2 linked regions of the Oryzias latipes genome follow. The protein of the gene in region 1 interacts with the protein of each later gene in a pairwise test. Links are inferred from orthologs where the notes say so. Each region holds a gene or a part of one and is shown in the gene's direction. Other genes may lie near its edges.

Region 1 (6,202 bases):
AAATATATAATCAAAAATAGAGGAGAGGAGAAGTAGATGAGAATCGAGGACAGAATCCCAGTGCACCATACTTTTTCCAGCTTCTAACTTCTAGGAGCCTGCTAGCAACTAATTGCTATTGAAATTTAATTAAAACATGTTAATAGTAAGTTCCATGGCACATATAGCAGATGGGAATAATAATAGAAAATCTACATTTTTAGTATGTCAACTTTGCTTAACTCGGTGGCCTTGTGGAAGAGTGTCTGTCCTGAGACAGAAGTCAAGAGTTCAAATCATAACAAAGTCTCCAAAAAAGGGACACAACATTTGACACTCAGCATTAAGAGGTTGGATTGGGGGGTTCAGCAATCAATGGTGGCCGTGTGTGCAGCTCATTGCTCCCCCAGGTGATGGGTCACATGCAGTGAAGCAGTACAATACCAGGTTATAACAACTAAAAAAATATGTGAAAGGAATACACACCCTACATACAAAACGTCCGATCTGAAAAAAATCTCTTTTTTTCAAGAAACACGGAGATTGTTTCAAATATTCCAGTCAGTGCTGGAATATTTTCTATATTTCTATTTAATATTTCTCAAAAAAGGGCAGGATTGTCTTGAAAGTTCACTTTAAATATGGAGTTATTCTTGTTCTCACCATTTAAGGCAGGCATGTCCAAAGTCTGGCCGGTCCAAGGTGGGTTCAGAAACCTGTCAAAGGTTTCTTTCTAGATCTCTACAAAGTCTGGCCAAATGCAGCCCTCCTGAAAGCCTCTTCTAGCCTGCTGGTACCTTTTATAAAAATAAATGTGCTCCCAGGAAACTGTGTATGATTTCTTGATTATGATTGCCTACTTTATAAACCATTTTAAACCTATGGCAACACTATGATGTGACCCTTTTGCAATACCTTTTAGCTCATTTCTAAAATGTCGACTGTAAATTTAACAAATGTTGACAATTGGGGGTCGCTGCTTTCAGGACAAGTAGAAATTTGTGTATTTTTTTCAGTAAGATACTAAACATGCAAGAGGCTGGATGTTTTCAAGAAATTCAATATCAAGAGGGACTACAAGACAAGACATCCCAACTATGCCAAGCTAACTAGGAAAGAATGGTGCATGGTTTTCACATGTGAAATTCACTGTCATTTTGTTAAAGATTTATTAAGCTCTTCTTTTGTTCTATGTGTAGAAAATACAATTAATATGCAATAAGCATTTCCCTTAAACAGTTCATGTGCATTTAATGTTATAAGGGTTCAAAGAATGCAGGTTGAATGGTTGGTCCTCACAAATGTTCACCTCACAAAATCTAATTCTCTTTGCAAAAAGTCAAATCTAAAAATTTGCAGATTGGATCTTTTGTATTTTGGTTATCAAGTTTGGTTTTTGATGTTTAATCATCACTATTTACAGGTAACAACCATTCATTTTAAAAGTAAAAATAAAAAAGCAATATTGTGGATGTTTTTTTAAATTTACAATATATTCTGATTCTTTTGTGGGAGTCAAACTTTTTGAAATTTTACATAAATTGTTAGCCTCCAGCAATATTTAAAAGTAGGCTAATATTTCCTAATAATGCCATAAAAATGTTGTTTAACTACGGTTTTAAAAGGGGTTTACGTGGATCAACACTAGCTTTATGCGTCTTTTTTTTTAGTTTTATGCATCTGACACATGATTACAATGGGGCGGTGAAAACTGACAGGTACGGTACCTTTAACCAACCGTTCGTGAAAACGCGTCGCTTCAACTAGACTGACAGTAGTCTAGCCAATCAGAGGACGCCTTTTTTCTGTGACGCATTCAGTCAATAATTCCAGCCAGTGAAAAGCTCGAATGGGCGGGGCCACAACCAAGAACATTCCCCAACACAACTACTGATTCTGCCCAGTTCGATCGGCAACGGGAGCGGAAAGAGGAAAGCTGAGAGCCCGAAGGCAGTAGCCCCCACCACCGCCGGCCCACGTTACCATCTAGCACCGGGAAAAATAGCAGAGAGCCGCCGCCGGCAGAAGCCATTACCAACCAGTAACTATGAGCAGCGAGGCCGAGACACAACAACAACCACCGCAGCCTGCTGCCGATGATGCGGAAAGCCCATCCAGCCCGGCAGCTGCAGCTTCCGCGGGGGATAAGAAGGTCATCGGTAAGACTGCCGACTCCACTTAGCTAACTAGATGCTAAACGTGGTTTATGTTGCTGTAAACGAGACAGAAACAGCCGTTGAATTATGTTAATGTAAAATGACCGTTACGATCAACTTTATTAAGTAGTTGGACGTTAAACCGTACGTCGAATTGTGATACCAACTGTCAATATAATTATACATTTTAAAAACTGTCAGTTGGGAACGGTTATTCATTAATAGCGTATCATTCTCATTAACTATGAGATGTCACAAGTTTAGGAAAAATCCACATCTTAGAAATGTAGTAAATAACCACTTAATCCATGATTTTCTGTCTTGGTGGGAAAACATTTGCGAAAAAGAGACGCATGCATCCAAACGGCCGTCACATGGATGATCGTAGGAGTAATTTATGTCAGATCCAGCATGTTTACTACCAGACGTTGCAGACCTTTATCTCTCACCGTTAACCGCCAAAAGTACGAACAAAACCCGAAAAAATGACGAATAAATGTTTTAAACTTGGAAATACCCTGCGTTAGTTCACACTAACAAGTTCACCGGCAACTGACGCTAGCTGCTTACTATCCCTTTGTTCGCACAAGTGTCGAATCCCTGTATTCTCTGTCAAAGCTTAAAGGTGGTTGTTTTCAAGTTTATTTTGTAACTATTAGATATATTCAATAATAAACGCTTTGGGATTTGTATTCAAACCGTCCTAAGCTTTAACTCGATTTTTTTTTTACATTTTCGGTGAGGCCTAATTATTTCACGATAGCTTTCCAGTTGCTAACGATGCTAATGTTAGCCTAGCCAGCTAGCTGGCTGGCTATTTACATGGCTGAAAAGGCCACCCAAAATGTCCGCCGTTACACGATCCGTTTATACGTTACAGTTCTATTCTAGCTCGGTTTAGGTACTAAAAGCGCTTGCTTAAGTAGTTTCGAAGTAACATCTGTAAGATGTTGATGGGTTTATTACGTTGGTTTCCGCTTTTTGGCTATACTCCAACCACATGGTTGTAACTCTTAGCTACACGGCTAAGCTAAGAAGCCAACTCGGCTTGTTTTTCGGTCTGTCCGTGTGCGACCCTACCACGTGTGAACGCTCACGTCGTGAACTGGGCGTCTTAAAATGGGGCAGTAGGTCTTTAATGTCCGAGTTCTCTAAATGCAGTTGCTAAACGCGAGGTTACTTGTTTTGAAGTTTGACGTGTCGTAAGCTCTGTTCCCCGTGTTATCCGCATTCCTTCCACACATTTGCAGTCAATGTAATTGGACTGTTTTCTACCATGGCCGGAGCTTCACACCGGGAGCAGCTGGCGCCAGGCTCTCCTAAGCATCAGCATCTATAATAAGCACGACAGTTGGAAGTTATTTTTAACGTCCACACTATGGCTAGTTTTTTCCTGCACATATCTTATTATGTGCGATGCTTTGACTGTTCCCAATCTATTATCATATTTTCAAAATTTCATTACTGCTATTCTAAAATTACCTTTGCAGCTTAGAGAAGTAATATTGACACTTGATAACTGAGTTGCTCTGTTTTTCATTGCAGCAACAAAAGTCTTGGGTACAGTCAAGTGGTTCAACGTCAGGAATGGATATGGTTTCATCAATAGGTAAATGACCACCTCCAGCGTTCCCAATCCTATTATGATTATTGCTTTGCTAACGTGGCTGACCTGATTATTTTTTCTAGTGGTCTGCATGCACACTGTAACCTGCAAGACTTCATTAATCCTTGCACTTGTTGGCTTAGTTGCAATCTGTCTTCAGAGGTGTGTTGTCTTAGTAAGTCATGTGTGGTATAACTGAATCTTTTTATTTTTTTCTCTTTTTGTTCAGGAATGACACAAAAGAGGATGTTTTTGTACACCAGGTGACCTATTATTTTCCAAACCTTTTGGAAACTTAAAACATTTTTTTTTTATTTCGACTAATTCACTTTTCAATTGTTGATGATTTCAGACAGCCATAAAGAAGAACAACCCAAGGAAGTATCTTCGCAGTGTTGGGGACGGAGAGACTGTGGAGTTTGATGTAGTTGAGGGAGAGAAGGTAATGTTTTGGGAAGAATTTGGTTATGTTTGCAGGCATGTTGTCAATTTTAAACTTATCTGTTAACAGGGTGCAGAGGCAGCAAATGTCACTGGCCCTGGAGGGGTGGCTGTCCAGGGAAGCAAATACGCTGCTGACAGGAACCGCTACAGGCGTTACCCACGCAGAAGGGGGCCCCCTCGTGGAGGAGAATACCCAGAGAACTACCCAAGTGATGGAGAAGGCGAGCCTGGCAACGGAGTGCGTGACAAAGGAAACAGAGACGGGGGAGAAAGCGCCCCTGAGGGAGAATCGCAGCCACAGCAGCGCAGACCCACTTACCCCAGCAGACGACGCTACCCACCATACTTTGTACGTAGACATTATGGTCGTGGACCCCCGTACACCAATGCACCACGCGGAGAAATGACTGTGGTACGCGGTCACCAGGCTGCTATCCAGAAGTAGGCAACCAGTTGTACCATGACAGTCGAGACACTTGCTCTTCTCCCAACATGCTCCTTGGTAAAGCTCACGTGGTTGTGGTCAAAGTTTGGTGTATCGGGGGTCACGCTATTGTCCGATGGACTTAAATTGGCCGTCTCTTCTTAAAAAAGTGTTCGTGTTGCTTCAATATTTCTGTGCTATACTGAATAATCTGTTTGTTTGAGAAAGCTTTTTTGCTTGATTTGCTCTGTTTTAGGGAGTTGAAGGCGATGAAAACCAGGGAGGTCCAGACCAGGGCAACAAACCAGTGAGGCAGAACTACTACAGAGGCTTCAGACCAAGGTTCACACCCAGGTTTGCACATTGGCTTTGTCCTTGAATGATGGAGAAAAGCTTTCAGTATCAAACCAACATTTAAGTTGGAAAAACCAAAGTCAGTTTTCAGTCAGTTCTTTTCAATCCAGACCTGTATCAACTCGCTGGGATTTGTTTATATATTTTCTTTCTCTGTAAATTCAGAATCATTCCCGGTCCCAGTAAAGTATTTTTGTTCCTCCTAGATATCAATGTCCTTGCTCAAATTTTGGTTTTCCTCTCCTCCTTTTTAGGGGTCCACCCCGTCCCAGACCGGTGCGGGATGGTGAGGAGGACAAGGAGAATCAGGGAGGTGAAGGTGGTCAGAATCAACAGCCCCGTCAGCGGCGCTACCGCCGCAACTTCAACTACCGTCGCAGACGCCAACAGACTGGTGGTAAACCAGGCCAGGAAAGCAAGGATGCCAAGGCAGGAGGTGAACCATCTGCAGAAAAAACGTCCGCTCCCGAGGCCCAGCAGGGTGGGGCTGAGTAGGAAGCAACATGCCCACCGGCAACTACCATCTTTTACCATCGTCCGGGTGAGTGCACCCCCAGGACTGCTCAATATATTCTGCAAGTCTGCTTTAAGTAAAAAATTGCTGTCCTGATTTTTTGCAGTTGCAGAAACATGAGGAAAATGACACTAGGTCCTCTAAAACAGAAAACTTCTTCAAATAATTATGTATCAACGGTTGAAAAGCATATGCATTAAATCTTTTAAAATGTGAACATATGCTGTAGATTAACAGAGACTGTTTCTATTTGCTGAGAAGCAGTTTTAATTGCACTTTCCTTCAGTATAGTGATAACACTTTTAATATGTGCCATATCATATCAAGTTTAATGTTGAATGTGCAGATCGTTTATGGACAGTGAACTTAATTTTCTTTTCTTCTCTTTTCAGTTTTTTTGACACGAAGAAACATCAAATAAGATCTGAGCAATAACGATTTGACTTTAAGATCGTCACAAGCTTGCACCATTTTGACCAGATTACCAACGATTGCCTGCAGAATCTATGCAGACTTGGGTTTGTTTTTTTTTTGTTCTCCATTATTTTTATGTGACAGCTACAAAATGTTTTGGGGAAACGACAATGTTTTTCTAAATCTGTCCTAAGTTTTTACACCAAATGGTTTTTAAAAATAAAATGGAATTTGATATCTGGTCCGTTTGACATTTTTAAATAACTTTTTATGTATTCAAACATTTTAACGAAATGCAAGCTAAAATAAAA
Region 2 (6,169 bases), on another chromosome or scaffold:
CACTGCAAAGTACTCCTGTAAATAAGGAAACAAAAATTAGTAAATGCATCTGCTAATTATTAATTAGTACAGTGTGTGTGTGTGTAGGTGTGCGCTTAAGCGTGTGCATGTATTAGTGTGTTTGTGGGTACGTGTGCATGTGTGTGTGTGTGTGCATATTAGTATGTTTGTATGTTAGTGTGTGTGTTACATCTACGAGTTGTATGGAGAGTCAGTCAGCCATCACATGATGAACTCCTAAATGACCTCTACAACAACAGCGGAGGTTTGGGAGCGGCAGGCTGAGCGCTTTCCCTGTTCTACTGGAGGACTGGAGCCTGAACCTTCGGCAGACAGACGGAGGAGGAGGAGTCAGAAAATGCTTCACCTGCTTCTTTACCTTTACCACAGCTGCAGCAAGTGTAGACGTGTGTAAATCAAAGGAATACTTCTACAAACATCTGGAATGCTCACATCTGGCTCAGGAGCAGCAGCACTCGGACGCAGGTCCTCTTTCTGGAGGCTCGTCATCACTTCCTGAGCTGCTGTCCTGCTGCTCCCGTCGTCTCTGGAACAACAATGGTCGCAAAGATCTGATCTCAGAGAAACACCACAGACTGCTCACAGTCGAAATATTTGGATCAGTGGACTTTGAGACAAATTATTGAATTTTTGATCTGTTGAATCAGAAATGAGTCAGCTTGATGACAGTTTTGTCTCACAACTGCCATCAAAGAAAGAAACACTGGCACAGTTGACGGACATATCGGACACTTCAGTCAGGCATTCTCATTACATGACCCTTCACTCTAATTGTTAAAATAAAGCACCCTAAACTCACTTATTAGCGTGTGACATGCACACTGCAGACAAACTGCAGAGAAACAAATGGCTGCGAGGTCATCTGCCGGCAGAACATTGAACTAGAGAAGGTCAAACATCAGAGCTGCTCCCATTCAAGACACAGATACGCAACTTGATTTGCATTAACCTTTGCTGTGAAATGAGACAATAATCTTTCTTTTTTAACCTCCAGCCATTAAAGCTAAGCTTGTCTTACTGACAAATCCTTATGATATAATATGAACTAACTTACAGTGGTATCAAGTCAATAACATGGAAATTATGGGAGTTTTTTTAGTAACATTTTGCATCATTTCTGGCCTTTTTTCAACAGCAGAATTTCCATCCACATAAGAATGCAAACTTATCTACAGCCACTACCTTTAAAAAGGTTTAGTAAAGATAGATACATAAAAGCTCTTGGTCTATATTTACATGTATGTATATATGTAAAATTCAAATAATTAAATTATATGTGAAATAGTCAAGATAATTACAACATTTATCAGGAATTCATGGTAACATTATCTGTGCTAAATTCACAGAAGCTACTGTGTTCATAAAGAAAAGTTAAAAAAAGAAACTTAAAAAAAAACACCACTAAACTCACCCTTTAGGTCTGAATAATTTCCTTCAAAAATGTGGGGACATAAATCTCTCAAGTTGCTTTTGTGCTTTTGTACTGTCTTTAGGGAAGTCTGACAACAAAGAGACTTTTTTTTTCAAACTGATTCCTTAAAAAAAAAAAAAAAAAGTGCGGTCACAGTCGCAACCGATAGTTTGTAAATTAGCAGATTCAGTCCAAACCGTTACAGAATTTCCTAACTTAGAAAACAGTAGTTTCCATGGTGAACACATTTTTTTATAGAATAGAAAATAATCTTTTTACATATATTTATATATATATATTTAGCAAATTTTCGTGGCTTTGATAAAGGGGTTTAAAAAGCATATAAATTTATCTTAAAAAATGAATTGGCTGTATAGTGGGCGTTGAATGGTTTAAAAACATGTCAGACAGCACCATCTGATGGCAGCAAGACTACAATTTCAATATATATTGTCGCAAAGGATGATGCAATGTTTCTACATGACGGGCCTCTACCGGTTGAGATTGTATTGATATTTCTTATTTAATCAAATTTTATTTCACTTGTATGTGCTGTCGAGTTTATTATAAATAAATAAAGAACTCCCGCCACTAAAGAAGGCAGACAATCTCTAATAAAACATTCACATCGAAGACACAGGGGGGCGCCACTGAAAATGCACTACGTTTTTTAAAAGTGCATCATATTTTTTCAGCTATTTTTTAAAAATGTTTTTCCATTTAATTTTACCATCCTATTTTACCATCATATATAATCAGTTAGTGTTTAGTGTTTAGTAAAGTAAAGTCAACTATTTGATATAAAACTAATGTTTACTGAACTAAGTACTACTTCCGGTTCAGGGGTCATAGTTACGCTAGGTCAATGTGCCCTTCCACACGTGTTGCCGGTGTCTTCTAGAAGCGTTCCTGGTAGTACGTCGGTGCCTGCGTGTTCTTATTTTTCTCTCTTCTTTAAACAGTTTATAGTATCATGCTAAAGTCTCTGGTCCGCGCGGTGGGAGCTGCTGTTCGGCTGTCCTCGGCACCATCCGCTGCTGCACGGGCTCTGCCGCTCAGCTGTCCGACCAACCGCTCTCCTGGTTCGGTTGCATCTCGGCCCTTCACCCGCTCCCTGTGGATGTTGAACAGTAACGGAGCCCCGTCGGGATACAGACCTAAACTGTTCAGCTCAAAAGTACTAAGTCCGTCTGTGTCGTGTGGATGTGGAGGGCTGCACACGGAAGGTAGCTGAACGTCCGCATGTTTTTGTTTCATTTATCTAAAAAAAAAAGAGAACCTGTAAACACAAGTTTGGGTTATTTAAAGCAGCAAAACAGCTTAAGTTGCTTACAAAATTGAAAGACACGTGGCGGTTAATTGGGGTTTTAGACGACACGGCGAGCGTGCTGCATCCTGGTTTAGGAGCTAAAGAGCTGACATCACTTTGGCAGGCAAAGCTTTAGATGATAAACAATCAACTGATGTTTTAACTTGTCGCTTAGCAACAGTACTGCTAATTTCCAGACTTCACAAACTATTTGAATTTTACAGTGACCCGATTTTCCTCATTAAAAGTGCTTGTTTTTATTTCTTTTTTTTTTTTCTTTACTCCTTCCACTCGGCAGAAATTGCTCCTGGAAAACGACACAGGTTTTATAAAGATTTGGCTAAAAACGTCAAAATTATTATTTTTAAAAAAACCCCACTGTGAACGCTTTTACAATCGAGCGGGAGGTGATTGGAGTGGAGCTTTTAACATTTTAAACTAATCACAAGTGAAGAGTCCCTTTATATTTACATCTGTATTTACTCAGTCAGCATTTGTTTTTTTGAATATTCCGCTGGTGTGTTATCCATCAACACTTAAAGATTCTACACGATGTAGGTATTTTGTATGTAATTGTGTAACAATTGTTTCAGATAATGCATTTTATCAAGTTTTTTCACCTCTAACTTGTCACATGTTTAAACATAAAACATTAAGGTTCACTGATAAGTTTTTCCAAATCCCCTCTGCCGAAGCCAATAGTTTACTCATATAAAGTTATGTTGTCATCCCATCCTGTGTGAAATGTGGATTCATGTTTTTTATCAAGTTGTCCATTCTACATCACACAGTTTCACCTAAATCTGTTGTCTTTTTCTCAGGAGACAAAGCGTTTGGTAACTTCCTGTCCGATGAAATCAAAGAGGAAAAGAAGATCCAGAAAAACAAAACCCTTCCTAAGATGTCTGGAGGATGGGAGCTTGAGATGAACGGCACAGAGGCCAAACTCACAAGACACCTTTCTGGTGAAAAGTAAGGCGATGGCTCACTCTCTGAGGACAAAGTGACCGTGTAGGAGTTCCTGCAAAGCAGCTTTTATTTTCTGTCTTCAGAGTGACGGTCACATTCAACGTTAACAACAGCATCCCTCCAAGCTTTGAGGAGGAGGAGGAAGCGCAGCAGCAGCAGAAACCAGCAGAGGAAGAGGTGAAGCTTTCGAATTACCTTCTAGATTTGTGATCTTATCATTTATTTATGCTCACTAGTTGTTGTTTTCCTTTGTAGCCAGAGATTGTATCTACGCCAAACTTTGTTGTTGAAGTAACAAAACAGAATGGGAAGCACACGCTCGTGTTTGACTGTCATTTCCCTGAGGATGAGGTATGAATTAAAACGAAGAAAGAAAGAAAAACTTCTGGATGAAGTGGTTAGGTAAAAAGGTGCCGACTTTATCCAATGTAGATGAGTCATGGTGAGGGGGAGGAGGAGAGCGACATCTTTGCCATCCGGGAGGTCAGCTTTCAGCCAGAGGGAGACTCTGAGTGGAAGGAGACCAGCTACACCCTCAACACAGACTCCCTGGACTGGGTAAGAGCTGCTGTGAACCATGAGCACACGGGGGGTCATGAAGGTGGGATGTTCTCAACTCTGCTGGGTTCTTTTTAGGCGCTGTACGATCATTTGATGGACTTCCTGGCCGACCGCGGCATTGATAACACCTTCACAGACGAGCTCATGGAGCTCAGCACTGCCATAGAGCACCAAGAGTACATCAAGTTCCTGGAAGATCTCCAAAGCTTTGTCAAATGTAACTAATATTTAACTTAACTGTCTGTTCTCCAGATGAAATTTCAAAGGACTAAAGCACTCAAGACTCATGTTTGGCACCCGGCAACAAGAATGTTGCTTGTTTTTCTGTAACTTCAATAGAAATATTTGTCAGCCATAGTGATCATTTAGTTTCTCAGCCTCTATTTTACATCTCATGTCCCCTTTAAATGTGTAAACGTTCAATCAAGACCTGTTCTAAAGCTAATAAAGAGAATTGTCAGTTTTCATTCGAGAATTTGTCACATTCTGAGGTTTTACTTTAGGAAGTTTTTATGTTTATTGAGGAACATTGACATTTTGTTGGTGGCTTAAAAACAAAATAAATACACACAAATTCCACACAGAACCAATTCAAGGTTTTAGATCATAATCATCACCTTACATTTTTCTCAATACAGTAAAACTTGAACAAGTTCAGATGCTTCAAAACTGAAATTATTTGAAAGATTCTTTATAATTTAGAAATGAATAGAACTGTTTAAAGGAAACAAATGGAAAAACAATATTAAACTGTTTATGTGCAATAGAGGTTGATCAAACCTTAAGCTCCTCCTAAGAAGCAACCCCGCCCCCCTTCCTCCCAGCTATTTCCCACGCTACAAATAAGCTCTTTTTCATCTGCTCTTGATTCACAATAAATTAAAAAAGAATCACTCAGAAATGCAATTTTGAGCTTAAGCTTCCTAATGTATGTCCTCCATCAGAGAAATACCACAAGAACATGATAAAAATGGCAAAATGTTTGCATTGGACTGGATCTGAAAAAGCAGACACATTCTGTGCTTGATGTTTGTAATAAAGGCAACACAAAAACACAAGGTTAAACAAGGTTTACAGGTTTCATTTGTGTGAAGGACACCAAAAGGTAAGATCAATACTTGAAAGTGTTGCTATGCCACGAGAGACGGATAAAGTTTATACAAATAGCTCACCAGCCTCTCAAGAAAATAACATTAAATAAAGCAATGGTAACCATGGAAGTGTGTTTGCGTATTAAATTAGGTAAAGCAAAAGTTTCAGTAATCCATAATAGCTATGTGTGTACTCATGTGTGCAACATTTAACACCAACAAAATATTTTAAAAACTGGTTTGAGTCATGGTAAGCACTTTTACTTTACAGTGAGAAGGCCCTGGTTCAAATCCCAGCTGGGTTCTTTCTGTGTGGAGTTTTTCTGTGTGGGTTTTCTTGGGGCACTCCGGCTACCCAGTCCAAAAACAAGGTTCATGGGTTAATTGGTGATTCTGGGTGTGAATGTGTGGCTCTGCAACAGACTGTTCAGGGTGCCCCCCCCCCCCTCACCCATCAGTAGCTGCATTGGCACCAGTCACCTTTTGACACTGAAAAGGGCTCAGCAGGTTCAGAAAATTGATGGATACAGTTGATCAATCTGAACAACATTATGTGGATAAGATGTTTAAACGAAATTTCTGACTGGTACACTAAAACAATGCAGCCCCCCCCCCCCCTGTATTAAATACAGATTAAATTTTTAATTTTTTCAGGTTACTCTTTAAAAAAAATGAAACAAAAAACGATAACATATTGTAACTAAAGCCCTTAAAGAAAAGATCTGTGTTAAGCATTAACACATTATTAGAACAGCACATACCCCACATTGGTTGCATCAGAAATGATGCAATTCTCCCTATAGATCA

What was found.
Region 2: the proteins of ybx1 (region 1) and c1qbp interact in binary tests that used the Homo sapiens proteins (3 or more experiments, as listed by UniProt). The link is inferred for Oryzias latipes from reciprocal best matches to the Homo sapiens genes YBX1 and C1QBP.

What each region holds. Positions count from the first base shown.
Region 1 is NC_019865.2:7,797,813-7,804,014, forward strand, and holds the start of ybx1 (nuclease-sensitive element-binding protein 1), read left to right. Parts: upstream 1-1,890; 5' UTR 1,891-2,026; coding exon 2,027-2,138; intron 2,139-3,680; coding exon 3,681-3,744; intron 3,745-3,970; coding exon 3,971-4,004; intron 4,005-4,093; coding exon 4,094-4,183; intron 4,184-4,252; coding exon 4,253-4,534; intron 4,535-4,865; coding exon 4,866-4,963; intron 4,964-5,217; coding exon 5,218-5,458; 3' UTR 5,459-5,504; intron 5,505-5,869; 3' UTR 5,870-6,202. UniProt on the Homo sapiens protein: DNA- and RNA-binding protein involved in various processes, such as translational repression, RNA stabilization, mRNA splicing, DNA repair and transcription regulation.
Region 2 is NC_019872.2:21,255,137-21,261,305, forward strand, and holds c1qbp (complement component 1 Q subcomponent-binding protein, mitochondrial), read left to right. Parts: upstream 1-2,274; 5' UTR 2,275-2,405; coding exon 2,406-2,658; intron 2,659-3,562; coding exon 3,563-3,713; intron 3,714-3,793; coding exon 3,794-3,887; intron 3,888-3,965; coding exon 3,966-4,061; intron 4,062-4,142; coding exon 4,143-4,268; intron 4,269-4,346; coding exon 4,347-4,496; 3' UTR 4,497-4,743; downstream 4,744-6,169.